Drosophila melanogaster: one gene and its partner. The protein of the gene in region 1 purifies or fractionates together with the protein of each later gene. This does not show direct contact. Each region holds a gene or a part of one and is shown on either strand. Other genes may lie near its edges. The genes, in order: CycT and pgc.

The links.
Region 2: the proteins of CycT (region 1) and pgc purify together in Drosophila melanogaster (affinity purification with western blotting; one study listed by BioGRID). This does not show direct contact.

The regions. Positions count from the first base shown.
Region 1 is NT_037436.4:17,546,883-17,565,021, forward strand, and holds CycT (cyclin T), read right to left. Parts: upstream 10,907-18,139; 5' UTR 10,191-10,906; coding exon 9,614-10,190; intron 9,538-9,613; coding exon 9,492-9,537; exon of another isoform or gene 9,261-9,491; intron 8,950-9,260; exon of another isoform or gene 8,649-8,949; coding exon 8,053-8,648; intron 7,997-8,052; coding exon 5,922-7,996; 3' UTR 4,122-5,921; downstream 1-4,121. Other genes in the region: Jon74E (jonah 74E), read right to left, coding at 1,267-1,580, 1,668-1,930, 1,992-2,230; CG7542 (uncharacterized protein), read left to right, coding at 2,955-3,767; Eip74EF (Ecdysone-induced protein 74EF), read right to left, coding at 14,888-15,876, 17,724-17,978. UniProt on the Drosophila melanogaster protein: Regulatory subunit of the cyclin-dependent kinase pair (CDK9/cyclin T) complex, also called positive transcription elongation factor B (P-TEFb), which is proposed to facilitate the transition from abortive to production elongation by phosphorylating the CTD (carboxy-terminal domain) of the large subunit of RNA polymerase II (RNAP II).
Region 2 is NT_033778.4:22,321,882-22,337,062, reverse strand, and holds pgc (polar granule component), read right to left. Parts: upstream 6,864-15,181; 5' UTR 6,802-6,863; coding exon of another isoform or gene 6,059-6,801; intron 6,002-6,058; coding exon of another isoform or gene 5,860-6,001; intron 5,806-5,859; coding exon of another isoform or gene 5,431-5,805; intron 5,216-5,430; coding exon of another isoform or gene 5,131-5,215; intron 5,069-5,130; coding exon of another isoform or gene 5,019-5,068; exon of another isoform or gene 4,991-5,018; intron 4,893-4,990; exon of another isoform or gene 4,892-4,892; 5' UTR 4,867-4,891; coding exon 4,651-4,866; 3' UTR 4,250-4,650; downstream 1-4,249. Other genes in the region: Liprin-gamma, read left to right, coding at 1,271-1,382, 2,099-2,122, 2,183-2,635; CG34208 (uncharacterized protein), read right to left, coding at 3,759-3,911; T3dh (type III alcohol dehydrogenase), read left to right, coding at 5,019-5,068, 5,131-5,215, 5,431-5,805, 5,860-6,001, 6,059-6,801; CG34207 (uncharacterized protein), read left to right, coding at 7,343-7,648; Gp150, read right to left, coding at 8,539-8,870, 8,933-10,667, 10,726-11,280, 11,336-11,888, 14,038-14,093.

The DNA of each region.
Region 1 (18,139 bases):
CTCCTTGATCCAGTCCAGATAGCTGGTGACGCGGGTGAAGACGGCGGGGTAGTTCTTCTCGCAGCCAGCAGAGGATCCGAAAGAGGTAAGACCGACCTGGACCTTGTCGGAGGCCAGGACCAGAGGACCACCGGAGTCACCGTTGCAGGTAGACACGCCAGCAGGAGTGGAGACACAGATGTTCGAGTCACGGATGGTGGAGTAGTAGGTGCGCTTGCATTCGCTGTTGGAAATGACCTTCATGTGGGCGTACTGGAGGTGGGCGGCGACGGCGCTGGAAGAGTCGGAAGTGCGTCCCCATCCGGAGGCGATAACCTCATCACCATCATAGGAGGCGTAGTGGTACTCGTGCTTGGGCAGCTCGACGTTATGAATGGCGCTGCTGTAGTCCACGTGAGGAATGCGGATCAAGGAGATGTCGTTCCTAAGGGTACGGCTGTTCCAGTCGGCGTGCAGGATGATGTCGTCCTTGGTAACATGGTGCTTGACCTTGGGGCTTTTTGGGGCTTTTATAATCCATTGGCAAAAACAGAAGATAAGCCTACGTGAGATCTTTTAGTGTTAATAAAATATAAAATAAATGGGGAGCAGTTACGGTAGTGGTATCTTAAGATCATTCTGGATGCTAGTCCACGTAGTGACGAAGCAAACCAAGCCTCGAAAGCAAATATTTTTAATATTGGTTCTGGTATGGGTTAACATCAAAAAGAGCATTTTAGCAAATACGCATCGATGCTAATAACCCGTGCTCCGTTCGAAAATATTACCATAATGAACTAAATTAAGAAACTAAGAACTTTAAATATCCTCTAATTAATCCTCTTCGCCAGGAAAAATTTCGTGACGCTCGAATTTCAATATACAATAGTTCTGATTCTAACTTCGTGACGAATGATTTTATACTCAACTAAGGAAATACAATACGTATGCAATAGTAAATTTCCGAGTGGAAAACAACTTTTTGATTAAATTCAGATATTGTTTCTTTCTTATTTGACCTATTTTGTTGACCAATCTACTTTGATTTTTAAGTTACACCAAAAAATATGCTACACCACATGCAAGTCTTTCTTATCATAGGCAAAAGAAGCAGCTTCGTTATCTTTTGCACTCTATGGAGTGGAACTGCGCCACTTTCTGAAGTGCTCTTCTCGGTACGCCCACCACTTCGAAAGGAAACCAATAGTCGCAACTAAAATGCTCAACATTTAATTTAATTGCAGTGCCCAGCACTGTTTGATTAGCCATCGAGGGCCCCCTCCACTTCTACGGATAGTGAACTCCGCTCACCTCACCTATCCAGTCCAAATAGGCGGTGATGCGTGTAAAAACCGATGGATATCCCTTGGTGCAGCCCGACTTTTTGCCATAGGAAGTGACGCCGATCAGAATGTCCGCGTTCTGCACAGGATCACTGTAGACCAAAGGTCCTCCAGAATCTCCGGTACAGGTGGATTTCCCTCCCGTTGTGTCCATGCAGATGTTAGTAGGTTTTATGTTAGCGTAGGAGTATTCACAGTCCTCATTGGATTCCACAAAGCGGTAAACATAACGCAGGTTATCCGATATTGCAGTGGATTCTGTGTGTGGGGTTAAATAAAAAGAAATTAGTATAAATTATGGTTAATTCGTACGACTTTCGGTTTGATTTATCATTCAGTTCTTACCGTCATTCATGCGGCCCCAACCGGAAGCGATAGCCGGAACATAATCGTAGCTGTTCCGGCTCGATGAGAGTCCTGGCAACCGGATGGGTCGTATGGAATCACACAGCAGGGCATCCTCTGGCAATCGTACAAGGGCAATGTCGTTTTCCAAGCTTTGGCAATTCCAGTCAGGGTGCAGATGCACTTCGGGATTAGTCGATCGAATAAGCTGCCGAGGGGCAAGTCGCAGCACTCCCCCCAAGTAGTAGGTGATAGCTACCGCTCTGAATTGATAAAGTTATCAGTTTAGTACTATATTAACTAAATGCTTCACTAAATACTCACTTTTCAACGCAGTGTGCAGCCGTTAGCAGATATCGGTCGGAGATCAAACTAGCGCCACACCAGCAATACATATCGTTGGGCTCCTCGATGCTCAGACCCACTTGATAGGGAAACTGATTGGCTCGGGCCAACTCCCCGCCAGCGATTCGCCCTCCAATCCCATGACCCATATCCAGGCAAGAGATCGACCTTCCCTGAACCAAGATAAGCAGGAAAACTAAAATCGTACTGATTTGCATGCTTTTCAGAGTCAACTATTCGCACCACTGACGCAGTCCATCCACATGAATGCGGATTTATGGCCCCTAAATTGGTTAATCTATAAGAAGTAATGCCTGATTATGCATTATCACTTTGGACTCATCTGAACGCCACTTGATTACCGAAACAATTTAAAGTACATATGTTTTCATTAATCGCGGGTTTCCGATAGCAGCATTTATTCAAAGAATAGTCAAAACACCTGAGCGTATTTTTGAAGAGGTTCTTACTCTTAACTTGAAATGAAAGCTTGTTTTAAGTGGCCGGCAATTAAAAGTATGTTACAATTTCTTTGCTAACTTAAAAATGGATGTCGCGTTGACAGGCGATATAAGTGAAGCTATCAATCGTATATTGTAAGTACTGATATCAAATCAACTAAGGACTGGGAATAAGTAAGTAATTACGTGACCTCATTTGCTAATCGAAGTTCAACTAGATTTTAAATTTAGTGCACTACTTAAATTGAAAATACCTGATTAGCCATCTCACGTGCCGTAGGTTTTCAATTTGCAGTGATTCATTGGGTGGATCCCAAGTCAAGTGAATTGTTTGTTGTGTGATCATGGTATAATAATCCCATTGGTCTAGGGTGCTCGAAATTTAAGAGGTCCTTATCATGAGATAACAAGCTGCAGGCTTAACCCGTTCCTATATAACCATGAAGCAGTCTCGCTGCCTCAGTTATTTTGAACCTAGAAAATGATGAAACTTTTGGTTTGCGTCCTGCTGGTAGGATCCTGTACGGCTGTTCCCCTCCTTACCGATGTGGAACCCTATATTACGAATGGAGAACCGGCGGAGGTGGGTCAGTTTCCCTACCAGGCCGGTCTGAACGTCTCCTTCGGGAACTGGAGCACTTGGTGCGGCGGCACCTTGATCTCACACTACTGGATAATCACAGCAGCACACTGCATGGATGGGGCGGAGTCCGTAACGGTCTATTTGGGGGCCATAAACATCGGTGATGAGTCCGAGGAGGGTCAAGAAAGGATCATGGTGGAGAAGTCGGGTATTATAGTGCACTCGAACTATATGGCCAGCACGGTGGTCAACGACATCTCGCTTATTCGATTGCCCGCCTTTGTGGGTTTCACTGATCGCATCCGGGCCGCCAGTTTGCCCCGTCGCTTGAATGGCCAGTTTCCCACGTACGAGTCCATCCGGGCCTTCGCCTCCGGCTGGGGGCGGGAAAGCGATGCCTCCGACTCGGTTTCCCCCGTGCTGAGATACGTGGAGATGCCCATTATGCCTCACTCCCTGTGCCGGATGTACTGGAGTGGAGCTGTGTCGGAGAAGATGATCTGCATGAGCACCACCAGCGGCAAGTCCACCTGCCATGGTGACTCTGGCGGTCCGCTGGTCTACAAGCAGGGCAACTCCAGCTACCTGATCGGATCCACCTCTTTTGGAACCTCTATGGGATGTCAAGTGGGATTCCCGGCCGTGTTCACCCGCATCAGCAGCTACTTGGACTGGATCCTTAACCATATCATCGCCCATAATAAAGAATAAGCTAAGACTAAACTGTTCTTCCTAAGAAAGATCTACTTGCAATGATTTAAATAAACTGGATAATTAAAACACTCTAAAGAGCGGTAAAGTACATTATGACTCCATTAAAATGCATCTAAATTACAAATTCTCTCTTCCAAATTAGAATCCTATTTTAGTTAAGATATTTATTTAAATTATTTAAGAGTTATTTGCTAACGAAACAAATGAGATATTTAGAATAAATTTAGTTAAAATTTTAAGTACAAAATTAATTAATATTTGGACCGTTTTCAAGAATCTGAAGTTTCGCTCAGAAAGTTGAACAAGAAGTTCCCCCAAGCACCGCAAGAAAAACACATATCATTTAATTTTCCTGATTTTTTTGTTGTTTATTTTTTGCATTTTTATAGTTTTTTGTTTAGAATTTTGCGGGGTTTTGAAGATTTTTATTTGTGCCCTCGTGGGGGCGTGCAAGTGACGAGTGAATTCATATTCGAACGCACAACCAAACAATCCCAATGAAACCCGACACTTGCCCGCCACCCGAGCGGCGGGTTTTCCATTTGCTTTCCAAGTATGTACAAAAACTTAAGTTAGGAGGGGCGAGGGGTGGGGATGGGCGTGGGCGGGGAGTGTGGTAAAAGGGGCCAAGAATAAGTATATAAAGGGAAATCCAAATCTTAGACGCAAATTGCGCATTCTTTCGATCGATTATAAAAACGGGTTTCTCGGGTTCCCAACTTAAAGAATACGTTTCTCGACTGCATGGGATGGATGGTGTGTGAATGGATGTGTGGTGTGTTTAGAGCTATATATGCTTGCAGCTTAATGCAGTAGTAGAGAAATCGAATACGAATATACGAGTACGAATAGTTTTGAAAAACGCGCAACGTTCGCTTAACCTTTGCCTTAGTCGAAAATTACATAAAATTTCATTTCATTCTCATTTTCGCCTCGAATATATAGATCATGCCTAGATTTCTATATGCCTAACTTTTGTTTCTCCTCGTTTAGCCTTCTGTTAGTTTTTCGTTCGTTTAGCTTAGTTTGCTTGCAACGTTTTCGCTTGCATTTACATAATTTTAAAACTTTTTGTTTTCTTGCACAACAACTTTTGTTTTATCCAAAATTTAGTTTTGGGTTTCTTTTTTGTTTGCATATTCCGTTTTTGTTTTGGGACTTTATTATTTGTTTTTGTTTTGGTTTTTTTTTTGTTGTGGTAATTTGTTTTGTAATGCTATTTAAAAAATAAATTAAAACAAATGAAAGCTACGTCAACGTTCCAGGCGATCTTGAAACATAATATCATCCGCTGAAACAATCCGATCTTTTTACTTATCTTCATTGAAAAGTGTAAATACACTACTGTATATATTGCTAGGTGTCGAAAACTATATTGAAACACGGTTAGTAATCGGGCAATCGTTCAGAAAGGAAGGGAAAACTTTGCTAACTAAAAATAAACATCTTCATTCATTTTCGGATTAGCAACTATGTATTAATTAAATAATTCATTATGTGGTTTGGCGTCTTCAATTTTGAATCAAAGCGCTGGCTTTCCATTTACTCTCCTATCCTCTGCCACAACTATATGCTCCTCTGTGGGGATTATTTTGAAGTTCTTACTCTTTCTATCTCTCTGGCTTGCATTTAGTTGGGGCCGTATTTAGTATATTTGCTAAGCGGAAGTCTGTACTATATATCTCTTGATTGTGTGTTTGTGAGAGTGGCTATATACAGGTTAGAGTGTGTGAAACGGGTATTTGATTTGCTAACTTAAACGCTAGACGGCCATTGCTGCTCTCTGTGAATTTTCTGCTTGGGTCTCTGATTCCGTTTGCCAACAATTCGCTTAAAACTATTCCGTATTTTTATGTATGTGGGCTTATATGTATGCTATTTATTATAGTTATAAATTAATTAATGCTGTACAAAAGTTTTCGCGATTTGAGTACTGCTTTTACGTCCAGCCCCATCGCGACATCTACTTCCACTCTTCTTCGATCTGCGCATCCGGTTTCACTTCCAATTTGGAGTTTTATCTATGTGCTTAACTAAAATCAATAATGCATCTCACTAACAATCCTAACAACTATACTACAATCGGACTTACTGAGGTTCTATACATATATCAAAACGTACGACTTAAGAATAACCCTCTGACCGCTACCACTACTTCTTGTTGTAGACGGGCATGGGAGGCGGTGCCAGCCCAGCGGCAGAGGGTGGTACTGCACCGGTGGGCGCCAACAGCATGGATGGTGGTACAGCAGTAGACATGGGGGCGCCCATTCCTCCAGACATATTGGGTGCGGCGCCAGCACCGCCAAGGGGATTAAAGATGCCGCCACCAGCGCCATTGTACTTCGCGTAGTCTTGGCTCTTATTCTTTTTGCTCTCCTTGTCGCGGTCACGATCGCTGTGCTTTTTCTTGCTGCTGCCACCGGAACTGCTGCCGCCCGATGAGCTGTAGCCACCACCGCCGGCACCATAAGGAGGCAGAACAGGAGCAGCTGCTCCGATCGAAGCGGATGTGGTGGTAGCCGTAGTTGGAGGCAAGCCATATCCGATTGCGCCAGGCAGACCCGCCGCTGCAGAGTAGTTATTGGGTTCAACCTTATTTTTGCTGATCTTAAGTTTAATGGGAGCTGACGCACCGGCCTGCAGGCTGCCGTTGGGATTCTTGATAACCATCTTCAGAGGCTCATTGGGAAGAGAACTGTCCTTGCTGCCACCGCTGCCGCTACGATCCTTCTGCTTGTCCTTCTTGTGCTTCTTACGCTCCTCCTTTTCCGTCTTGTCCTTGGACTTGTCCTTCTCCTTGTGTTTGTGTTTATCCTTCTTCTTTTTCTTTTCGGACTTGCTGCTGCTTTCCTCCTTAATCTCTCCGGCCTGTTTAGTGGGTACTTCCAAATCCATGGGTGCGGGCCCACTAGCCAAACTGGTCATCGGAGTTATTCCCTGTTCTTTCTTGATTGTCGCTGGTGCGGGCATGGGCTCAAGCAGTTCGGCCGGTGGTTTCAGGCCAGGCATAGTCAAGGCATCCGGTTTCAGGAGCGAAGCGTTCGATGGACACAGACTCTCCTTTAGCAAACTGCGCACCAGATCCGGCGTTGTCTCGATTCCGTTGGACATATTCAGAGGCGTGTGTTTCTCCTCATAATTCGGATAAGTTGGTAGTCCAGTTGTAGTGTCCAGCTTGCGAAGCTTTTCTCGAGGCATATTACTGTTATCTATTTCATCCAGCTTATTTAGTCCATACTGACTTCCCGAGATCTCGTTGGGCCGTTTTAGGCTTCCACTCTCTCCAGGATTGGTCAACAGGTCCCCGCCATGGGGTATCTGCTTCTTGTGAGGCGGTAGCATCGGCTTTGATGATCCCGAGCCGGAGGAACTGTTCCCACTGCCCACTGGGGGCATGACAGGACGGTGCTTATCCTTTTTGGTTGGCGTTAGTCGCTCTTTCTTGGGACTTTCTTTGTCGCGCGGATGGCTATTTAGCTTGTAATCGTGGCCGGGAGGCGCAGGAGGGGGTAGCAAACCGTTAAAAGGCTGTGGTTGCGACTGCGACATGGGCTCCTTTTTAATGTCTGGCCACTCTGGACTGAAGAGCGAGTTCTTGGACTGCAACGAGTGCTGGGATGCCTCCGGAGGCATCTGTTGCTGCTGAGACTGAGGCACTGGCTGCTGCTGCATGTGGCCGTAGCTCTGGCTCTGGGAATAGGGCAATTGCTGCTCGAAAGGCGGCATGCCATGGACGGTGGAGCCGGATTTGCTGCGATGGCCGCCGTATCCGGCGGGAGGCGGGGGCTGGGATCCATTGCTAGCGCCTGGATATCCACCACGCGACATCAGCGGGTTTTGAGGGGCACTATTACTGTATGGCGGCGGTGCGTTCGGATACATTTTGTTGCTCTGGGATTTATCCTTGGAGGACATGCCCGATGCAGAGGAATTAGAGGCGGATGGATGTGGGACCGGCTGCTGCTGCGGCTGCTGGGGCTTGGAGCCCGAAGTCATCTTGTGGCTGCCGTGAGGTGGCATGCCCACGCCTACCGGCGGCATGCCGCGAGAGGATTTGTGATAGTCCACGGGCATAGACGGTCGGCCAGGCTGCTGGCTTGAAGACGACGAGGATGAGCTGCTGCGCTGGCTGCCACTTCCCGAGGAACCGAGTCCACTGCTACTACTACGCTGGTGACTTGAGGGCATTCGATTGTTATAGCCCGGCTGCTTTGACTTGTGATCTTCAATACGAAGATGTTAAAAATGTGATTCTTTTTGCAGTTGTTGAAATACTTACCCGTATGAGCGTCGGGCGGCATGCCACCAGGGTAATTTGGCATCTTGTGACTGGAGGAAGACGACGAAGAGCTGCTGCCTGGCACTCCGCTCACTGAGGACGAGCGCTGATGGCCACCATCCTGTCGTCTTTGCTGCGGCACCATAGCCGGTGGCGGCAGTAGTGACGACGGATCCCGTTCCCGCTCTCTCTCCCGTTCACGATCTCGGTCCCGATCCCGGCTGTCGTTGCCGTTTAACAGCTCTGGTGGTGTCGTGATGTTTGAGTGGTAGCCCTTCATCATCTCGGTGATCTTCCAGTCCTCCTTTGGTTTGTCCTTGCTGTTAGCTGTCCGATTGCTGGCTCCCTGGGCGATCGCCTTGATCGAGTTAAGCTTAGACTTCAGACGGGCCGGGCTCTTCTCATAGATAGCGATGAACTCATCTGTCAGCTGCTTTAGCAAATCCAGCGAGACCGTCTTGTCCACATAGTAGAACCAGTGTTTGCCCTCGGTCGACTGGGGGATCTCCCATCGGGACCACTTGCAGGCTAGGTAAATGCAGAAACAGGCTACGACCGTGGGGCGATATTGGAGGCACATCGAGGTCAGATGCAGGCTGTGCCAGGATGGTTAAGTCAATTTAGTGGGAAATCTTTTGCAAGAATATCACATATAAATGTAGTTCGGTGAGTGTGTGCAGGGGGATTTCATCACTTATAATACAGATTACGTCTTTAGTTCTTAGCATGTTCTTAGCGAGTCTCTTTTATTTCTTGGGGATCTTAAACTTAAAAGAATTATTCTAAAACGTTTGCCGATATTTCGAAATGCGCAAATTTTCCCAATGAGCTCTCCTCATGTAATCAGAATTTTGACTATGTTTTAGGTAGGCAGGTATGCCAAACTGAATTTATCTTTTTTCCAGATGTTTTAGTATGCCAAAGGATTACAATGGTTATCATTACAATTCTTCAAATATCTTTTTCTAGGAATTAACGACTCTTTCTAGGAATTAGTCTTATTCTTGACATTTGGCGGATTTTCCGACACAAATTACAATGTTATTGCAGGCAACTGAGGATAATTACCGCGAGGGACACGGAAAATACTGCCTTTTTGCTAAGATGCGATATTTGTACAGACGTCCTGCTGCGATTAGGGACCGCGTGTTCTTGTTCGATTTGTGACTTGGGGTCGTCACTTTTTTTTTTTGTTTCGACTCACATACCTGGGTTTGTTAGCTATAAGCGAGGAATTAAGCAGGTAAAAGAACTGCCCAAAGATTTTAGCCACAAAAAGTCAGGGATCGAACTCTCTACAGCCTGACCACTTTCTGGGGAGGATTGGGCCAACACCACACCCGCACACACACACACATTGCTTATACCACAGCCGTATTTGCGTTGGGGGCGATCTCTAGGAGGGATTACACCATAGAGTAGCGCATTGCTAGCCATACCTGTTCGAGGCCAAGAAGTACGATGTCTGCGCCAGATCCTTGCATGCTAAAATATACCACAGTAATCAGTACCATCTGACATGTGAAGGGGACATGGCTTGGGTCGGATGGTGGGTGCATACCTTTGACCAGCTGGCAGGTGCGCACCACATGCGTGTGCGGATGATCGATGGCCACATCGAAGCCCAGCGTCTGCAGGAGCACGTTCTCGTTGAACACAAGCTCCTGGGCGAGTTCGGCGTAATTCTGCTCGGTGGTCGGCGGCAGGCACTTGTTGGCGGCCCGAATAACATGCTCCAGCTTCCGCGGTTGCTCTTCTACCTTGGCGGCCAAGAAGAGGCTCGCCGACGCCATGGAGTTGCGATGAAAGTGGGTGAAGGAGTGAAAGGCGTAGAACCGATGCATGTACACAATGGCCGTGTTGATGCACAGTTGGGACACCTGCAGACGCTGACCCATTTCCTGTATCAGATAGGCGGTCATCTGGCGGTACTGCAGCTCATCGTCGCCCTTGATGCCGCATCTTCTGCTTGGCGAATTGGCCAGCTGATCGTTGCTGAAGTACCAGATCTTGTCCTTCTCGAAAGGCAGGTTGTTGTTGGCGGTGATTGGAATCCCGCTGGCCGAGGCGGCCGCGGAGGCGGATGAAGAAGATGAGGCGGTGGCCGCCTGGGGCATTGGCGTGGCTAGGAGACTCATGGTTGTATGTTTCCTTTATCCGTGCAGCGGAGATGGGGATCTGGGATTTCGGGTTCCGCGTGGTTATGCGGGGACCTCCGTTTCACATGCAAACTGCGCCTCGGAATGGACCTAGTAATTCCCTTTTGGCTGATTCAGCTGTAGGAACTAACTGTACGAAGAGGAAGGGAGAGCGCTCTTTCTTTGTCGGCCGTGCTTGAGTGCGCTGGTATTGGTGTCTGTGTCCGTATCCGTGTGCGTTGCTGCTGTGGCGGGGGTGGCAGCGGTACGGAAGGGGCAGTGGGGATCGCACGGCACATCGGCTAAGCCACACTCGATATTTCGCTGTTTTTGGGAGACTCCAATTTGGGTTTGGAACGAGGGGTTAAATCCGCGGTCCGCACACTTTTTCCGCCGCCGCGTCTCTGCGTGTTTGTTTGTGTGTGTGTGTGCGTGGTGGAGATGGTATGGTGTGGTGAGGTTTTCTGGAAACTGCGACTGCGGCGGAAACGAAACGAGACGAAAAACACACTAACCGCGACACCAGGCGACGTGTTATGCAACTTTCGTATCAATTCATAGTTATTCGCACTGCTTTCGCCGGGCACTTTAACCATTACGGGTCGTTTACTCGACGTTTTTAATTCCACAACACATCACAGATTCCATTCACACAGTGACAATGACAAACTTTGCAGAAAAAAATGTATTTTCAAGTATGGCCGTCGGCAGGGCTGCCAGATCGATAAGGCTTTCCAAACCGATGTTTATTTCGCATTATCGATATTATTTTTAAAATATGGCAACATTGATTCTACTGTTTATGTTATCGATTAATAATCGTAAGGTAGATATTCAAATAAATGTAAATACATTTTTAAGTAACTTACCTTAAACTTTACATTTCGCTAACACATGTAGAAATATCACAATGTCAACATTTTTTCCCTTCTTATTCAATTAAAAAATAACGTATATTCCGGGGGAATCGAATTTGTACTTAATATGTTTGAACAGTCCCATCTTAAATATATCTTATTATATGTATATGGACATATTATATATGTACTTTGAGCACCTTCATTTAATCGCATGACTTTTTTTTATCAAAATATCCAAATGTTGTTATGTATATGTTTATATACCTAGTCGGACAACCAGCACTTCGGTTGAAGCCAATCCTCAAACACCGTTACATCCAGAAAAACTTTATGGGCTGGTGGAATCATTGGTCCGTACTTCTTCAAAGCCGACGATGGCCAGTACGTTACAGTAAATGACGATCGGTATAGGGCTATTGTTACCAACATTTTCATTCCTGAATCGAACAACCATGATGTCCAGGACCTGTGGTTCCAAAAAGAGGACGCAATATGTCACACAGCTCGTGCCACAATCGATTTAATGGTGACCGACTAATCTAACGTTTTGGACCTGTAATTGGCCTCCCAGATTTTGTGACTTCTTTCTGTGGGTGGGGATATGTAGAGTTATTGGTCTATGCGTATAAGCCATAACCGACCGAATCATAAGAAATAATACTAGTAGTAAAAAAGACATTCCGAATTCCTGTACAGCTCAAAATGGCTATACATTTTGAGAGCGATGCTCTACCCATTTGAAATCTGTCATAAAAACACATATGAATTTTTTATTGTTATTTATAAAACAGATAATATATATTTATAGTTTGTAGATTAAAATATACAAAATTTAGCTAAAAACCTTAAAACTCTTATGTCGTCATAACAGTAAATAATTATGCTAGCTTGTGACTGTTACTTGCTTCGTTTTTCTTAATGCATTCTTATAAAAATTAATCTAATCCGTTCGCTTGCGCTTGCCTCTAACCATAAAATTCACCTACATACCATGACTTCGATCCAACGTTCGTTTCCTTACTACATAAGCATTAAAGTATATATATATATATTATATATATTGTGGCTGGCTTTAGCTGATTTCTCATCGCAGACATTTTTAAAATGTGTCTGTCAAATGTACAAAGATTGAACAAAAAGTGAAATAAACAGTCTAAAAACTTAACTTAGGTTAGTAAGTCAAAAACTAATCGTATCTAATGTTAATGCATTCAACATATTCGTCTAAATCTAGGCCAATCCATATCTCTACTATTCTCAGGCGGCATAGAATACCTTTGAATAATCGCACGTTTCCATTTAAAAGCTATATAGTTCGTTTCGTTTTTGAGTTACCAATAGAAAGATATCTTGTCTTAGCCTTAGCCTAGCATAGAAATCTTGCCCAACGGCATCGATATTCTATTGCATATAATTTAGTTGGTCTTATCCAGCCATTCGGGGTTATCCAATCTAACAAATAATTGGTGTATACATATAAAATACGTTTATAATCGAGTGGAGTCATGAGGTCCAGAAGTTGTATATGTACAATTATCGTGCTTAGCATGTATAAATGCTTTCGGGTTGGAGTCTCCAACTGATTTAGGCTATCGAAGTGAAAGGAGAGCTCTCTGGGAAATAGGAGATTGAAATTTAAATGTACTATCTCGATTTAAAGCTGCATTATCCGGGTTGTGGCTCAGATTCTTGTTTACCGATTTCGTTGTACTCGACTCGTGATTTTTGCATATCTGGTTCGATGCTGCTCTTGTTGTGGGTGTGCTTATATCTAAGGTCTTATAACATTTAAATATTCATTCCCTAACAACTAATAACTGATTTACGCTAGGTAATAATGGTAGATGCGGTGATCTACGCCAATAAATAGACATACATATAAATCCATGATCTGGGGGAAACCTCATAAACTGAGACCTCGTGAAATGGTGTCTTAGAACTACAAAATACACCGACTGGACTTTATCTAAAATATGTGATCTCGACTTCAAATATCGTCAATCCGAATCTCGACTATCCTATATAGACTTTGAATATATTGTAACTTATGCAACATTATGTACTTTTCATGGGAGGTATATCTAGATTCCAAATTTGTAGCGGGTTCCATATATTTGTATCATATCTTTGCTTACGTTCTATATTTCATTCGGTTTTTATATTGGTTTGTTTTTTTTTTGGTGTGTTTGGTTTGCGAATGTGTAAATAAAACGCATGCACAAATTGAAATAATAATTTTATTTAAAAAATAAAAAATAATCATAAAAAATTGTTTACAATGAACAGAGTTGAACTCAAGACTCACTTTGTTTATTTGCATCATCAATCACCAATCATCATAAACAAAATGATATATTGTAGATTTCATCTTCACGTACACATAATAATAATAATAATAGATAAAGGTACTTAGAGAACGCAACTATTAAAGAATTAGATTAAAGAACTAGGAGTTGGTTTTATTCTCTTTCCTATTCAAGGTATCCTTTCAAGAGATTGCACGTTTTGGGCAGTGTTTGGAAATTGTTGTAGAAGTTGTCGGTATATTGCATTGAGGATTGCGGTTGCAGTATTGTTGAAACTATGGGTCAGTATCTCGGTTTGGTTCGATTAAATGTCCAGATCTGTTCCATTATGTAAGGCTTGTTTCGATTTGTGGCAGTGTGACGTTAACAAGAATACGGTAGTTTAACTTTATGCTTTATAAATAAACTTCAGATCGAGAGACTTGAGTTTGGTTTGGTGTTCTAAGACTGCTTAAACGAGGGCTCAAGAAGTGCCTTCTTCGGGTTTATCCTGTGAGCTTTTCTGCTGTTGATGTTGTAAATATACAAAACTTATCAAATAATAATTACAAGAAAGTTTAGACCACCAGTTTGCTGGGTTCTTAGCTCCAGTTAGGATGTGTGTGTTTTTGTTGTTTTGGGGAAAGTTTCGGGGGATTAGCTGGAGAAACACTTAAATAAATATCCTAAACGTAGTCGTACAAATAGCTAAAACTATGAAATAATAAATTTCCATCTCTCTTCGTTTATAAAATAAGCAACAAAAACAATTAGCCCAAGCACAGACACCCGTGCAGATCGTTCAGATCTCCGTATACATATGTTCATACATAGACCCATATCTGCATCTGCACTGAGCTTGTCCTCGGGCAGCGGGTTGGGCTAGGGGACAGTTGAAAGGTCATTAGGCTAGGCATATACATACTCATATACATTTAGATTTAGCATTAGATCAATAGAGATAGAGAAATTCTTGCAGCTATAGGGGTTCGTACTCATTTACATATTACACACATCTATCGAATATCAATATGAATCAATTCGGTCGTCCTTCGTCCTCTTCCTTCCGCCATAGCAGTAGCAATAATAATTATAATATTAATAATAGTAATAGTAATAATAATAATAATAATAACCAATAATAACAATATTCATTACAGTTACAGTTTACAGTTAAATCTACAGTTACAAGTACAACACTAACGCCCATGAATAGATCATTATTTACCGTCGATTTAGCTGGGTGTATGTATAGGGTACAGGACACAGGGTGTGAATATATATTTATATATATATGTATATATATATATAAGTATATGTACGCGTATTGGGACTATCAGCTATGTGTGTAACCTACGCTTATCGCTGGCTAACCAAGAAACTCAACGCATGTACAAAGAAATCCCTATCTCGCGTGGCCTTCAGCCACTATTGCCGCTAGCCGGTTGATTTATACCCCACCCAAAACCTATTGCCATTCCAGCTCGATCCGTCTGCGATCTGGGATCGAACTATATTTACAGGCCTCGTCGTCCTCCTCGTCCTCATCACTTCACACACCGTTGCAGTCAATCTCGATGATGTCCTTGGGCACATCCACGAACTGGTAGACCAGCCGCTGGCCATCCACCTTGGCCAGTATGCCGCGCTGGTAGTAGTACCTCAGCGCCCTGCCCATCGTCTCGTAGTTCATGTCCGGCTTGTTCTTGTGCATGCCCCACAGGCGGGACACAGCCTTCGAGTCGACCAGCTTGAAGACGCCCTTCTCCCGGTTCGTCCACTTGATGAAACGCGGACAGTATTCGCGATCCTGGAGCAGTTTGAGGAGGAACTCCCACAGATAGGTGGTGGATCCCTCCCGGCTGCGCCGCTTTACGCCCATCTCCAGCTTCGGTTTGCGCGGCTTCTTCGCCTTCCGCTGCTGGAATCCGCCCAGCTCCAGCATGTAGGAGAGATCGTAGCTGACGCTGGACGTCGCCGGTTGGATAACACTCTGGGATCCGCCCGCCGCAGCTGCCGCCGTTGCTGCTGCCGCTGCACTGGCGCTCAGCATGGCTGCCGCTGCAACGGCGCTGCTGCTGCTGCTGACGACAGATGCTGCTGCCGCTGCCGCCGCTGCAGCGATTGTGGAATGCGTGTGCTGGCCCGCGTGCGGATGCGAATGCGGATGAGAGTGCGGATGTGAGTGCGGATGCGGACCGTTCAGTTGGGAGTGCGGGTGTTGCTGCTGTTGCTGTTGCTGCTGCTGCTGTTGGTGCGACAGTTGCTGATGCAACGCCTGCTGCTGCTGGTGCGACAGTTGCTGGTGGGCCAGTTGCTGTTGCTGCTGCGATTGCTGCGACTGCTGTTGCTGCTGCTGCTGCTGGTGCAGGGAATGATAGCCATTGATTGTGGTTCCTCGCTGGGACGCCGCTGCCGTTGCCGCTGTCGGTGCGTTGAAGTAGGACGTTGTCAGGTAGCCAGGCGTTTGGGGGTTTCCCGGACCACCTGGCTGGGTGCCCCCACTGCCGGCGCCACTGCTTCCGTAGTAGTTGTCGGGCACTGCAAGAACAAAGTCAAATATATAAATGAGTACTTGAGAACAAAAGCGGCTTGCTGAACCAACGAATATACTGGTGAGCTTCCCCAACTTAAACCACCAATTTCCGCTAAAAACTTTGAAGTTGACCACTTTAGTTATATATTAAATTTTACGTGCAATAACACATTATAATGTCATCATAGCCCACGTTATCACCACGTGCCCTGTCCTTTCTCTCCATACCAGTTCATAGTTAAAATCAACTAATCACCGTGCATCAAATTAAAAGTTTTCCTGAAACTATTTTCGTAACCATCATTCTAGCTGTGTGCATTGCAAATAAATTTTTTAAATTCGTGTTGCTTACAGACATGCTACTTTTGTGATTTTCAATGCACATATGTTCATATATTGTAGCATACTTTTAGACTCCGTTAAAAGTTATTTACTCATTAGTATAAAAAAGGGTCAGAGCTAAAATTTAAATTTTTAGGTTACAGCTTAATATCATAAGGTAAGTACCCAAATATGCAACATCCAAGAACGTGCACTAAACTTAAACTTAAATTGAAATAATATACCCAAATGAATCTGCTTGGTGGCAACCCGTTCTGTCCCATTGTACCCAGATCGCAGATCGCTTGCGACTATTTCACACTGTTTCTGTTTCTGTGTGGTGGCACAGGTATAATTTTGTATGCTATTTAGTAAGTTTTTTTTTTTTCTTTTTTTTACATCCGGCGTTGGCGTTGCCCAATTTCGCGGCTCAGCCAGTTGGCAGTCAGTGGATTTGGATTCGCAGTCGTCTTTGGATTCGGTGGACCATTTTAGACGGGGGGTGTGGCTGGGGGGCACAGGGGCATGGGACAGGATGAGAGTGGGGAAAGACTGGGCTGAATCTGAATAAAAACAAAAGTAAGCAGCGCCACTCTCTCACCAACTCTCTCACAGACACATCGCACAGAGAGCAACGCACGCTGTGTTGTTCGTGTGTTGCTCATGTGTCACGTTCGTGTTGCTGTTGCATTTGCGTTGGTGTTTGGCACTCTTTCACTCTCTCTCTCTCTCTCTCTTTTCCGCCTCTCCGGGAGAAGGAGGAAAAGAGAGTGGAGCACTCTCGCGAGCAGCATTATTGCCACATTGGCGCTGCTGCTGCTGCTGTTGCTGTCGTTGTCGTTGTCGTTGTGACCTTCACAATTTGCGCAAAGGCAATGTGTCGATGACCACAGATTTTATACAGCAACACGGACTCACACACACACACACTCACGCACTCAGTTGGCAGAGAGCATAAAAGCAGCGAGTGCAACACATTCGCATTGCAATTGATTGTGCTGTACGTACATGGGTATGTGTGCGTGCGCCTTGCTTGCCTGACATTTTGTAGGAAAGAGTACGCTGGATTAGGAGTGCATTATGTATGCAACAGATTATACCAACTTCAAATTGATTGCAATATGCAAAGTTCCCCATTAGGTCATATGATTAATTGGTTGAGATAAAACCGTTCTCAGCTTAGATCGAATCCCCGAAATAATTGTGCGATTTACTTTAATCTTAGCTCATTGCCAATTATGTGTAAAATCCTTAGTACCTGTCTAAATCGTAAACATTGACTGCACTAAGGTAAGTAGGCAGCAGTGTGCAAAACTTCAGTCTTAAAAAGGCAAATTTAAATAAAATTGCAATTCAAATTCTTACTATAAGTTGACGTCATTAAGTCCCTTTACCATCTTGTCTTGTTTCACACACTCCCAATTTGATGTGTATAAAAAATGTATTATAAGTCTAGCCCTTAAACTCAGTTCTAAACTTAAGCACACAGTTGGAATTGGTTGCGTTTTTCTCAGGCATACTCGATACTCACCCCCAACACTGCGATTCCATATGTTCCGCAGCGAATTTGCCGCATTGTTCTGGTATAAATTCGGATGCAGAAAGGTGCCCGTGTGCAGGTGTGCCGCTGCCGCCGCCGCCGCTGCTGCCGCGGCCGCTGCCGACGCCGAGGTGGCTGGTGGCATCCCGAGACGCGCCTTCAGCTCGTCGGCGCAGGGCTGGCCGCCGGAACTGGAGCTGTCCACGTCGGAGACGCCGCTGTCCGCGGGACTGGGCGGAAATGAACCTGCGAACGGGATAGAGCCGCGCGGAGCGAGGACGAGCCAAGAAAAGGGGCAATTAGCAATCGATATGGCTCGAATCGAGTCGAGGGCGTGTGCAGTGGTTCACCTTGCTGCTGGACACGCTCGCCTCACTACTGAATGCACTCGAAAAAACAAGATCTCT
Region 2 (15,181 bases), on another chromosome or scaffold:
CTGCGGTATCGAGTCTGCCATGGCCAAGGTTCCAAAGAGTAAGCTCCTAAAAATGTAATTTTGTTGACATGGCTTGCTTATTGCATATGGCTGTATCAAATATTTGCTTGCATATTTCTGGGCAACAAAAATGCGAAGTAATGAATTCTGGAGCTGAAGATTTGACCGCAGGGCTATAGCTCCTCTAAGTTAATTTCTTTAAGAAGTCGTTTGTTTGGTTTTGCAATTTTGCAACTACAGTGTCAATTGTAAGTAAAACTTGCTTACTAAGTAGCCTATCTCTCTCTATTTCTCAAACACACACACACATACTCGAAAACATACGCAGACAACCGAAAACCAGTTCTATGTATGTGTTATCAATGTTTTTAAGTAGCTTGAACTAGTCTAATCGTTGTCAACTTAATAAGTACCACTGCATTCAAATACCTTAACGATACTACATATGTGTGATTGGAATTGTAAGGCTTAAACAAAAACGACAATTTTTATGGCTGCTGGTTTCGTGACTGTTAGCAATGCTATTCTTTTTTCAAGTTACCTTTACTTTCTAGTTTCTATTCTTTCGGGGGTTTTTAACTCACTATAGATCTTTGATTTCATTGTTGTTTTACGCTACGTGTAGTTAATTGTGCCATGGCGAATACAAATCAAAATAAAAGTATCTCTCTAACATTGATTAATCAAATTCTTTCGTCTTTGTCCCGTTTCTTTTTTCATATTTCCTATACTCGATCCACTCTCTTTTGCTTTCACCTCCGTATGTTTCCCTTCAATTTTGTAATTTGGTAATCGAATTGACGGCTTGTTGTTGTTGCTAACTCTGCTTGATTGTCTAACACGATTACCAACACAACAACAACCATACCGACAACAACTCAACAACACAATCAACAACAACTCAACAACATGCCAATGAAACCACTTTCTGTGTGTGTATGTGTGCCTGCCTTGCCTGCTTTCTCTCTCTCTCTCTGGCTCTGTATTGCTATCTCTGCCGCTCTGCCTGACCACCCGCACTCCATGTATTCGAATTTGAAATCTCGAAAACTCCACACTCCCGTTATCTGCCGTCTGTGTCCTGTCTTCAATGTGCTGCCTGCCTGCCTGCCCATGAAAATCAAAAATACATGCACATCCAAACCCATTCACAACATGATATATGCCCCCGTGAACCCACAACACCCACTCACCACCCACCCACACACACACACACGCATATGACCTATGCAAAAATTCGCAAATCGAAATTGCCATGTTTGTTGTGTAGAGCGACTCTGGGTCAGGGCATCCGTTCCGGTTGCGGCGTAGTGCCTCTAACGGGACCCGGCGGACTGCAGCACTATGCCACAACAGATCGCCGCTCGAGCGGCAACCTCAGGGTAAGTACTTAATACTAATAACATAGCTAGTTATAGCCAATTATGTCTTGAATACAATAATCGTCTGTGCCAGTCGACAAACAACTATTGCTGTATATCCCTAGCCTGAATTGACGTGAAGCTTTTGTTGTCGCTCGGTGTTTGTGTCATAAATTATTTAAATCCCTGAGAGGTGGCTTCAGCAAGTGTTCTCATATCACTGGGAGCATGTTTTCACAGGCTTTCATCCAAATTGAAAATTCAATTTATGATAGGTTGCCTTTGCAGGCTGTATTGACTATAATTTACACTCCAAGGTGCCAACAAGTATGTGATAAATTCTGAGTTGAGATAAAGGACATTCAAGGATGTTACAATATTTAAGCGAAAATTCATTGGCTATCCAAAATACATCGTTGTTAGCTTTTGGTCAGCTTAAAACGAATAAGTTCGTAAGGATATGTTAAATATTGAAACTCAAATATCTACTCATCACAATTAAATAATGAATATGCCTTTAACATAGCAAATATGACATGTATTAGATAACCTTAGCATGGATATAATTACTGATTTGGAAAATATTTATAGTTCCTAAGGCACCTAAGAACAGGAAAAGTTTCATGACAGTTCCGAAGTGTTCCCGTTGTCGGCAAAAGTTTAGGATTTGAAACAAGTGTTCTTGTGCAAATTAAAACTATTAACATTTATTTCTTTTCATTTATTTTACTAAACAGATTTCGGCATGGAAAGGATCTCAGGTGAGTTGGCATTTCATTCACTCAAGGAGCACATTTCAATATTTGTATTTCCGTTTGCAGAGCTCCCTGTCTAAAGCCTTTCGGTTTAACAGCAAACCACATCGCACCGGGGACCGCAGCTCCTTTGGGAACTCCACCTCCCCAACGCCTTCGTACAGCAGCAGCGAGGGTGGCGGAGGAATATACGCAACCATAGGGCACCAGTATCCGAATCCGCACACCAATCTCCAGCAGCAGCACTACCATCACTTCCTGCCGCCGCCTACGACGGCCCCACCGCCGATTCCCTCGGCTGGGGGCATCTATAGTCATGGTCCGCCGCCTGGTCATCGTGTGAGCGCTCCGCCAGTTGGTGGGGCACTGGATGCGGTGTCCACCGACCCACAAATGCTCTACGAGCAGAGTCGACGGCGCGTGAAGAGCATCAGCGATATTGGGGCTTCGACGAGTGCGGGCAGCGTGGGGGCCTGCAGTCTGGGCGGCATATCGGCCTCATCGGAGTCCCCTGAATAAGAGTGAAAAGCTAGCTAGATAGGATTACAACTACCACTACCAAAGATACTCAGCTGTACTCCCGCATGAAAATCCCTTTCACCCCCCCATAACCCATTTACCCTTTCAGCTGCATTTGAGCTTAGAATCTACAAGCAAACTCAATTATATTCAAGTCAGTGTCAGACCCACCTACAAGATACAAGCATTCAGCAGCTACAGATACATATGCGTCAAGTAATACAAGATAAGCGAGTAATCATTTGATCAAATCAGATAGAAATTCGAACTATATGCTAAACATAAATAACGACATAATTATATTGTGTAGACTAAGCCCCAATCGCAGGCAAGAGAAGTAAGGATCGAATCAACTCGAATCAATTCAAATCGAATCAAAAACTCCACCCCAACTCCAACAAACTGCATTAGTCTAATCAATCACATATATGTAATTCTAATTGTAATTGTAACTGTAAAGATAGCTCTAAACCGATTTAAAAGTGAGAGGCAGATTGCGTGACGGTAATATACTCACTGAATTACAAGCCGATTTGGGCACTGGAGATGCGATTGCAATTTAGATAAATTGAAATTATTTTGTAACCGAAACTATCGTAGCTAAGCAAATGGAAACGGAAACTATTGAATTAAATTTGATAAGCCGCAAGATGCGGCACTTTGTAAATTATGATAAGCCCTAAGCAACGTTCAATATCGCATGGTAATGGTAAAATCCGAAACAGAATCAAATATATGGTAAATACAAACGCACTCCCCAAAAAAAACCCTCGCACAACCAAAGAAAGTCAGTCAGCCTGCTTTATCCGCCAATCAATCAGTATCGAAGAATCCCCGAGAGCGTCAGGGTATCATTAAGCTGACCAATTTAACTGTAGACCTATGTCGAAGAAAACTATCGAATAAACCCATGATCAAAACTCTGTTGTAAACGAATGAGTCTTTATTGTGCACGGGAAGATGCCACTCGCTAGATGAGCAGCACCTCAACATATTGCATTTTCTCGACTCCAAAACATTTCACCTTCACCGTGAGTCGCTGTGCCTCCTGTGTCCTTTGTGGTTCGGTGCATCTTCGGGGAGATTTCGTGGGTTTTTCCATCTCCTCCAGCCGCTCGGATTGCTAGCGTCGATCGTTGTCGTTATCGTTTCGAGGACGTCGCGTTGTGTGCGGACGACCCTTGGGCTCCGGATTGGGTTCCGCTAGGGCTAAAGTGCCCAGACTGCCGATGAGTCCGAGGATGCCGAATACCAGGAACAAACTAAGCCACTTCATCTCGCGATCGCGATGTCGAGTTATTACCAGTTCAACACAAACTGCTGAACGATACGCCTGGAATCAAACGTTTTATGGCCTGGCGCCCAGAAGATCGGCGACGATCTGCATGCTAATGAGGGAAACTGCCGTCAACATCGTTTACCATTGCCAGTAGTTTATGTTCGCAGATCGGCCAGATAGCGCGGCAAATTGAGTTGTAAATCCAGCGCGAAAAATGGGCGGACATACATTTAGGTAATTAGCTCCATTGTAATGGGAACAATTGTTCCCATTACAATTGAATCGCAGTCACATCTTACTGTGGGACCCGTAATTAAAAACGAATGGGTTTTTGAACGATTGCGAATCGAAAATATATTTCTATCTATTTTTTGGGTAAGTATTTGAGAAATTTCGAGCTTCCCTACTTGTTCTTGAATACATTAGGTGCAATACCGAAGGCAAATTATTGCCATTTTTAGATCTAGGACAACCATATGCGATTGATTGGTACAAATTGATTACTTGGTAGAGTGACAAAACAATGCGAGTTTTCACGAAAGCAAACATTTGAATACACGGACAAATTGACTTCAAGAAACTATGCATACGATCGCCTCTGAAGGCTGGTAGTTACAATATAAAATAACCGAGCACTTATCAAAAGTGCATTCACGATGTTCCACTCATGTGGCAAACGAACTGCTAAAACTATAATTTACAAATATCACAATAAGTTGGCTTTTGGGAGGTCCAGTCAGAATCTCCATCTATCCGCGATGACCGGCGGACTCAGGCTCAAGTTTTGCTGGAAAACCTGGCAGAGCTCATTCATCTCCCGCTCCCTTTGCAACTCCTCGCGCACTTGATGCCACATGGACTCGAATCCATTGTCGTAGGATGCCATCGAGGCATCGCCCTCGCAGGAGCTGTCTTCAAAAATAAAGGAGTACTCCATCTGGTAGTCGCACATTTTCGGGTCTTCTTGTAGTTCAAAGCTGCAAGACAGAGAATTTCAAATTGTTAGCTATCGATTATGAAGTGCTGTCTTTTGGCGCCAGCTATCGATTCGGCGGGTTCTTATCAAACGAAAGACCAGTCCAGCTGATTTCATTTATATACAGAATGTCGCGGAAGAATGTCTTAGGTTTGATCAACACGATCGTGGCCAACTCGTAAGTAAAAATTGCGTTTTATAACTGATTTCAAGTGATTTAAATAAAGTATGGTCTTATAGCTGCAAGTGCCCCGCCCATTCGCATAACTATGGCTCAGCAGCTCCAACCGCCTCCCAAACGGGTCGCATGGAATACGCCTTCGAGGTAAGTGGCAAAACCTTGGACTTTGGAGCACCTCCAGATAGTAGATTCTCATCTTTAGACAGGTGGTCATACCCTGGACCAGATAATACTATCTCTATATTCTTAAGCATCCCAATAGAATTTATATTTTAGATCTTGTGAATACTTTTAACTTAAATTTTGTTCGGTATATAACAAATTCTAATTCAAATTTGGTCAAATGTATTGATAAACAGATGTCAGCCTCGACTGTTCGATTTGGACCGGGAGTAAGTGCCGAAGTGGGAGCCGATCTTCGCAACTTGGGAGCTCGGAAGGTTTGTTTGGTCACGGATAAAAATGTCGTGCAATTGCCCTCCGTGAAAGTGGCCTTGGATTCACTGGCTCGTAATGGCATCAACTACGAAGTCTATGATGAAACCCGGGTGGAGCCCACGGATGGGAGCATGTGGCATGCCGTGGAGTTTGCGCGCGGCAAGGAGTTCGATGCATTTCTGGCCATCGGAGGAGGATCTGCCATGGATACAGCCAAGGCAGCTAATCTTTTTAGCAGTGATGCAAATGCAGAGTTTTTGGATTATGTAAACTGCCCAATTGGCAGAGGCAAGGAGGTGAGGTCTCCTTTTTAGACTTAGTACCTTTAATACCACTTGAATTCCATTTAGATATCCGTAAAACTGAAGCCCCTGATTGCGATGCCCACCACTTCGGGAACAGGTTCCGAAACCACTGGAGTAGCTATATTTGATTACAAGAAGTTGCATGCCAAAACTGGGATTTCCAGCAAGTTCCTCAAACCTACTTTGGGTAAAAAACTGAACTTCTTTAAATAATTTATTCTAATATCGTTCTATCTAACTCTAGCTGTGATTGATCCTCTGCACACCCTATCCCAGCCGCAACGCGTGATGGCTTTCGCTGGCTTTGATGTGTTCTGCCATGCCCTGGAGAGTTTCACGGCGGTGGATTACAGGGAACGCGGTTTGGCGCCCAGTGATCCCAGCTTGAGACCCACCTACCAGGGCAGGAACCCAGTGTCGGATGTGTGGGCACGATTCGCATTGGAGACGATAAGGAAAAACTTTGTGAACGCCATTTACCAGCCCGATAACCTAGAAGCCCGATCCCAGATGCACCTGGCTTCCACAATGGCTGGCGTGGGATTTGGTAATGCCGGAGTGCACCTGTGTCATGGCCTTTCCTATCCTATTTCTGGAAATGTGAGGGATTACAAGCCAAAGGGCTACTCCGCGGATCACGCTCTTATTCCACACGGCCTATCCGTGGTGATCAGTGCTCCGGCGGTCTTTGAGTTCACTGCTCCAGCTTGTCCGGATCGGCATTTGGAGGCTGCCCAGTTGCTGGGCGCAGAAGTGCGAGGTGTCGAAAAAGCAGACGCCGGTCGTCTTTTGGCGGACACTGTACGCGGTTTTATGCAACGCGCGGGCATAGAAAATGGCCTCCGAGAGCTGGGATTCTCCAGCAGCGATATACCCGCCTTGGTGGAGGGAACCCTGCCCCAGGAAAGGATCACTAAGCTAGCACCCAGGGCGCAGACGCAGGAAAACCTGTCGCAACTCTTTGAGAAGTCCATGGAGGTCTATTAATTTGGAGCCAAAACTTACCCACGCTCAACTTGTTCTCTTGAAGAAAAAAAAATGTTAAACTAACGGATCTTCGTTTAAGATCTGACCATACTTGAGCTTTCAAAATTCTATTTTTTTTAAGCGTATAAAAAGCTTAGAGTGAACCATTTAATTTTGGTTGGACTTGTGTATATACGAAAAATACCATTAAAAACCCTATACAGAATCACAGGAAATTTGATGCCCTGCTTGATTTTTGTTTACTTTATGTTCTTTGTCGCAATGGATCTTATGTACATTCAGCATTATTTTGTGGCCTCTTTTTTGGTCTGCACTTCGTTTGAGAATCCTCTACTCAGTTTGCTTTCCTAAGCTGCAGGAAGAAGACCGACGCTGGGACCAAAAATACTATGATATAAGATATTAATATTAATATAATATCATACAAATCATACATGATATCATATCATTAAAACAAAAAAAAAAGGATTAAATCCTACAAATTAGTTGCTCCAAAAAAAGCTTGTAATTTTTGTAATTATAATATATTTTAGACTGAAACATGTTTGAGTACTCCTTCATGTTCGAATCCTCCGGATGTGAGGGTAAATTTCTAGGGATGCCCTACGACGGGGAATTCGAGGCAATGTGGCAGCAGATCGGCAATGAACTCCGTTCCAGACATAATCGCTTCCTGGGAATGCCGTTCGATAGTGGATTTGAACGGATGTGGCGGCAGGTCAGAGAGGAACTGAAACGGGATCGGGAAGATAACGAATTGGCACTCTGTTTCCAGCGGAATTTGAGCACCTACGTAAAGGAGGAAGGGGATGTCGGTCAACTTGAGTCTTTTATTGAACGCAGATAAAATATATTCAATTTTATTGAAAGGCATGTTATTGTTTAAAGTACGTATGCAAGTGTGTATGTCTATTAAGTATGCATTGTAAAGATTACGATCGGTTTGGTTAAAATAATTTATTGTTTTCGGAATCGGTTTCAATGTCGAATAGGTCAAGCTGTTACTTGCCTTCGATTGGAAAAAAGATAATAAAAAAGTCTTAACATAGTTTATGCATTAATTATTTCTCTCATCTCTTGATCATATTAAAAATCAGACGTCATTCTAGGGAGTCTCCTAACCGTTTGCTACACAGACCCGCATCTAAAACTCTTACTACTTTCTGTTCCTCGCTCCTCGTTTCTTGTTCCTGACTTGACACTCAGTTTAGAAACCTTAATGTGTTTAAGTAATTTTCGCTCGGTTTGAATTTTGGCAAAATGGCACTAAATCTTCAAGTTGTTCCCGGATATGGACTAATTGGATACGGATTGTGGGCAGAGGTTTGATAAATTGCAAATCCGTTGCTTTCGAAACGGTTGCTCATCAAACGCGTTCTCTGAAAGCCCACCTCTGCTGTTGCCAAGGACCTTTGACTGGTCTTAACAGTATTTGATGGTACAGGATATTTCAAGGATAAAGGATTTTGTCAAAGATTTATTCTCTCTCTTTCAATCTCTTATTTGGATTCAAGTATTTTTTAGTTGTTGCTTTGTTTCCTCGCACTTTCGCTAATACTTTTAACTGCCACCTACTGCTCCTCCTCCTGTTTCTTACATTCTTGTGCTTGTGTTTAGTCAATTGTCTGATGTGATTTTCCACTTTTTCAACTATCAATATACTTATAAATTAGAAAAACAGCGCAACTCGTTCGATTTCCGCGGCCACCGGCCCGGAACTGCTGATTCTAGGTGGACTTAGACCTGATTGATGGGCGCGTATCGGTGCACCTTTGGCTGCTTCAGATGCTTGGGCTCCTTCTGCTCCTTGCTGGTCGGCTTCACGATGTCCTCGCTCAACTTCTGGTATACGAACGAGTTCTTTGAGGCCAGCAGCGCCATGCGATAGCGCTCGCCGCGCTTGCGCAGCACCACGTAGATCACTCGGGCGATGGACAGCACGATCATCAGGAGGCAGAAGGACACGACGATCAGTGGGACCACCAGGTCGTAGGATAGTTCGCCGTGGAAGATCATCTTCTCGGTGTACTCATCTGACTCCTCGCTTTCGCTGTCGAAGCCCAGTTTCTCTGAGAAGGTAAAACATACGATTGGAATACATTCCATCAACGAATGATTGGCTAAAACTTACCCAGAAGGAATTTATCACGGGTCTCCTGAGACATGTCCACTTCCTCCGCCTGGATACCATCGGTCTTCAGGACTGGCTTCAGTTCCTTGTTCACGAACGTGTCGAAGGCCTTGTTAGCATCGGCCTTAGCCTTGGCATTCTTCTTGGCCTCCTCGAAGCGATCATCATCGTTGTTGTCATCATCATCGTCCTCATCATCGTCATCATCATCCTCCTCACTGTCATAGTCACTGCTGTCATCCTCCTTATCCTCGCCGCCATTGTTCAGATTCTCCTCGTCAGCATCTTCCTCAGGCTTCGCGGTTTCAGTGTTCACCGATCCCTTCATGATCTTCTGCATGCTGCTCAGCCTGCTCTTGTCTAGCACACTCTTGTCCAGGACACTCAGCAACTTAGCCTCATCCTCGTTAAGCTTCTTCACGCTTTCCTTCAGACGCTTCTCCAGTTTGGCTTCGGCACTGTCGGCCTTCTTTTCGTCCAAGAGATCTGATCCTTCGGCATGCTTGCACACCTCGTGGGCCAAAGACGACCAACCAGCCTGAGCCAGAGTCTCCAGCTGCACAATAGTAGCATCGTCCTCCAGATTGGCCAGCACGGGCAGACGCTTGGGAGTCATCTGCATCTGAAGAGTGACGTAGCTGATGAACTCCTGGAAGTCGGGAGTGCACTTCAGCGGATTGTTGGTGATATCCAGAGAACGCAGGTTCTTGAAGCTCTTCACATCCTCCGAAGAGATCTTCTTGATCAAATTACCAGAGGCGTTAAAGGAGCGCAGGCTGTCAAAGATCTTGTAACCCGCACCCAAGTCGCGATCGGAGAGCAAGGTGGTAAGCTCGCAGTCATTGACGTCCAGGCATCGCAGTTGGTGCAGCGGCAGGAAGAGGCGGACGGACAAGCGGCTAATGGGATTTCCAGCCAGACTGAGCTTAGTCAGCTCTCCGTTGTCCATGAAGATCAGATCGTCCATGCGGGTGATCAGGTTGTTGCTCAGATCCAAGTCAATCAGCTTGTGCAGTCCAGTGAAAATCTCGCGCGGCAGATGATTAATGTTGTTCCAGGCCAACTTCAAGGTGGTCAAATGCGGCATAGTGGAGAAGGCCTTGTGACCCAATGGACCGATGGCGCAATTGGAAATATCCAGGTAGTAGACGGTGAACTCCCCACTGTAGCTCAAGAAGCCATCGGTGGGCAACTGGCTCAGACGAGGATTGTCGTTCAAACGGATCACATCCAGCTCAGAGTTCTTAAAGAACAGCATTCCCGAGATCTGGTCCAGATCGTTGATGGACAAATCGATGTGGCGCAGGTTCTTCAAAGTAAGGAACGAGTCCGGTTGGATCTTCTTAATGCCATTGCCCTTGAGGTTCAGGTTGGTCAGACCGGGCATCTTGTCGAACATGCTGTGGTGCACTTGGACAATCGAGTTAAAGCTCAAGTCCAGCTGCTGCAGATCCTTGGTGCCAAAGTGCAGATCGCCATTGAAGGTATTGTACTTCAGGTGCAGTATGGACAGGGTGGTGCCATTGAAGATATCGCGGGGCAATTCAGTCAGCGAGTTGTAAGACAGATCCAATTCTTCCAGAAGAGTAACCTTCTCGAAAGCCTTCTCGGGCAGTTTCTTGAGACTGTTCTGGCTCAAGTTAATGTAGACGACATTGGATAGATGGGAGAAGGCCTTGGGATTCAACTCCATAAGGTTGTTGCGCGAGAAGTCCAGCTCCTCAATGCTGGAAGACTGCAAAATTATAATTTATTAGCTGGATTTCAAGGTAAAGGTTTTTGAAATCACTCACCTTCAGCAAATAGTGAATGCTGGACATCACACTCAAGTCGTTACCCGAAATGGTCAGCATGCGCAGTTTCTTGTTTCCAACAAAGGTATCGGGATTAATGATAGCCAAACCAACATCCGTCAAGTTAACAGCGTACAGCTCGTTCAGTCCGTGGAAGGCCTCGGCGTGCAGGTACTCCAAGGTGCAGTTGGCGATCTTGATGGAAGCCACGTTCTTAAGACCCAGATTCTGGAAGAAGTTGGGTCCCATCAGGATGGGGTACTTAGGACCCACATTGGTCACAACCAAATCCGTAATGTCAGAGCCAAACTTCTGGATGCCCATGTCAAGTCTGCTGCAGGTGGCCACCAGATAGCTGTTGACATTCCGGGCACACTGGCAGAATCTTGGACACGGAACGTCCTCGCTGAAGACAACTTGCTCATCATCGGTCAAAAGGTCGTCAGCGGCATCGTCCTCGTCATCATCATCATCCAGACCCTCGTCGTAGTCATATTGAGAGTCGCTGTCGATATCGTTAGCACTCTCTTTGGTCTTTTGGTCGTTGGATTTGCTCTGTAAAGTACGAAAACATATTTATTTGAATTTAAGGATGATGGGGGAAGTATACCTTGGACTTCGTGATGGTGGCATCCACAATGGGCTGCAGCTTGGGGTTGCTCTTGGCCTTCTTGGGACTGGGGGAAATCGTCACCGTCTCCTCATCGAAATAGTTGTAATCATCATCGTAGTCATAGTATTCGCTATCGTCGGTATCGGTGGAGTTCTTCTCCCCGGCGGCGACGGTAGTATTGAGCATCTTGTTGAAGTGTGGATCATCAGCCAAAGCTTGGCTGTGCTTGGCCGCCTCCATCAGATCATTCCAAGCCTCCTCGCTAAGGGACTTCTCGGTGCCGGAGGACGTGGTTTTTTTTGTGGGGCTCCTGGTGGTCGTCTCCACGGGTAAATCCTTTACCTTGGGGGTGGAGATTTTGGGCAGACTCTCGGTCGGGCTCACCTCCTCTCCAGAGTTCAGCTCGTTTTCCGTCAGATCGTCATGAATGAAGTGGATCTTGGGGCCCACGGTATTTGAGTGGCTGGCGTGGATTAGGGCCAGGGTAAAGGCCAGCAGCAGGACTAGCCTGCAAGTCGACTGGCGACTCATTTTCCTGTAGATGGGCAAACTGAAATGGACCAGGAAATTCAACGTTATACAGTACAGTAATGGCCGCTTCTGAGAAAATGACAAAAACAGACGACTCACACCCAACGGGCCCTATCTTATCGCTAATTGCTGGAGCCAGATAAGTAGATATGCGTTTATTGAATCAACCACATTCTGGAGAGGTGGCCGAGCTCATGGCTGGTCTCAGAATGCGCACATTGTCCACCTATTTCCTTAAAAATCACCGATCTGCATGACGAAATGGTGAGCCAAGTTGACTGCCCCAATTAGCACATTGGCACCCGGAGAGTTGACATCATTTCGCATGCTAATTTAGTAGGTACACTACATTCGAATCGACGAATTTCCAAATGTTTGCTTATCGTTTAATGGCAATTGTTTTGCACCCCATATGATTCGCTGCGTATTTTCAACACGTTACTCAGAATCCAGTGAAAGCACAATTCGCACTACCGTATCCGCAAAGTACTTCCCTTATTGATTAGTACTGTATACATCATCTAACAGTAATGCATATGCCGAAAATAGTTTCTGGAGAATTGCTGACTCTCAATCTCGCGATTCGAGTTGGTCTGTCATCAACTGGAGCTTGTTTATTTGAGTTTCAGTTTGCTTGCCCTTTGATTGCACGCGACTGGTTTGGTTACCCTAACTAAACGATTGGGTAATCACATTGTGCTTTTTGGAATCGATTCGATATGAGGGAATCCCCACTGAGCGTTTCTTGACGCCGATTATGAACTCGTTTGCCAGCTCGCTGATTCTAAGAAATTCTCAAAACCAGACTGAAAACTCGACGCTCTCCAGGTCTCTTATGCAATTTACGTAGTTTTGGAATGCATTTTCCACCCATTCGATGCGGATTCCATGGCGGATGGCCCTATTGAAAGACCGCCTGTGTTTGCCTTCGTTTTCATGGCAAAGCAAACACATAATTCGAGACCGTGGCTCGCCGAGTGGTAAACAAAGAGCTTTGGGTATTATTGCTTTTCGTAACCAGGCAAACGACCCGGGATCGCGAGAGATCCGACTCCGCCAGCAAAGTGTAAAATGCAAAATGCGCAGTTAAGGCGGCCAGAATAGATCGCATTTATCCAGCCAATACACAGTATGGCGGCTATGGGAACATATGTGCGCACATATCGTATGTTAGAGCATTTCATTAGACCCCACAGCAAACCGCTTAGCAGCCAGCTCCGCGTTGCGAGTGGGTGTCAGGTTGACTGGGAGCCTGACACAAGCGCGAAGGGAAAACTGCAGTCTCGAGATCGCATTAAACGTGTTTAGGTCTCTCGGCTAACACATTTCATCGAGTCAAGAAAGACAGCGGTTTTTGGCTCGCTTGAAATTGGCTTTGGCTTTAGCTTTGGCCAAGGCGCCGCCGACACTCCGACCATAATTAATTCCATTTCTGTCATTGCAGCGATATATGTATGTATATATGTCTGTATACACAGATGTCCGCTTGAACTGGGCTATACGAGGGTAGACTCTGTTCAAGTTTAGAGAGAAACCGGTAACTGGCACTGGCACTGGCCATACTTGTACATGTATGCAAATACGTTTTCCACTCGGAAATTCGTGAGTCAGCCAATTCATCATATTGCTGCGGCTATCTACAGCTGTAAAGATTAGACTAGTCGGGATATATCCAATCGGTAAGCCCCATCCCTCCATTGATCTGTCTCCCCCGCCAGTAAATAAAAATCTATAACTGAGTGCTTTGTAGTGTCGTGCATCTAATTAACGTCCAGCTAATGGGGAAATGCTTTCCTGAAACTGTTTCTAGAACACTTTGACATTCGATCGAGATAAACCCTGATCTGGCCCTGTCATACATAATGGCCCCGTACTTAACGTAACCCGATACGGAAACACTTTGGATCGCTTCGTTTAAAGGCACACTTCCACAGAGTATCAGAGTATCGCCTAACAAAATGATTTCGAGTCTTGATACAAGACACGATTTGTTTAAACGTAAACCTCTATTCAATTTATTAGTATATTTTGATTTGGCTCCATTGGTTGTCTTTCGGTTTTTATCAACTGGTTCACAGACGGTTGGCATGTGGTCGGTTTTGTCAACAGATTAGAATTATAAACGCTTCCCATGAGACCCGCCAACCCACATTTAAGTATCAAGTTACCCAGAAATGTCATGTGGATTGGAGAGCAGATGGGGCCCGGTTATCAAATTGTGCATGGGTGCGTCGTCGATCGGAAATTGGAAACTGGGTGCGACCCTTGGGCAGTCAATATACCAAGTATATGCCCGAAAAATATCTGCATTCCTCTGGGTAGAGAGATCCCGTTGATTAGCAAGGTTGGCTAATGAACCTCGAACTCAGGTAGTTTCGCCTTGATTCCGTCTTACGATCAACACAAATGTGTCTCTGGCAAATACCAAGAAATACCCAAAATAATGCGATCATGAGTCTGTGTGCGTGGGCAGATAGTGATTGAGATGTCTGGGTAAAAATAGCTGGCGTTAACAGGAAGTGAAACGAGAGAAACGGACGTGTAGGTAGAATATTGCATTTTTTCGGGAACTTATGTGTCCCCTTTAAAGGATATCGATTCATGGAAAGAGTGGAGGGACAGGCGAAACGGAAATGCCTCAGCTGATGCCTTCATTAGGGTGGCTCAAGCCAATTTCATCCGGCTTTAAATCTGCGGATCACGACATCGTCAAATTTGTTGACCGATTCATTAGCATCACGAGTTGCTGCGGATTTTGACGATTTACGATTGTTATTTCTGCTAGAAAATACACCACTGGCCAACTGCTCAGATATAACATTTCCATCTATATATCATAGTGTATCCCACTCGGTTGAAGCCATTCTGGAATATAATTTCTGCAACGTTAATTTTTTGCAGCCAGGCAGACAGGCAGTACAATGGACAAAATTGCCCAAGGCGTGCACATAAAAAATAAACACAAAAGTATAAAAAATGCCGACATTTGACCACACAGACTAACACGCAGTTGGCACAAAAGGTTGGTACAAAAAGGGGGAAACTGTTGGCTCACAAAGATGGCCAGACTGGTTTTTGGCTGGAAACTGCCACTCGAACTCGGAGCAGATGTGTGAGCCAAGTTAGCCCGGTGGCAGCCAAAAGTCAGGCAGATGACTTTACCAGTTACGAAAAATTCTTGCTAAAAGCCATTTCAATTCGCTCAAACTCAAACATTTCGAAAGGGAATTTCTAAATAATAACCGATGGTGTCACGTTCGAGTTGCTTGAACTCTTCGCACCGAATGTGCTCTATTACAATCAAAATAAAGT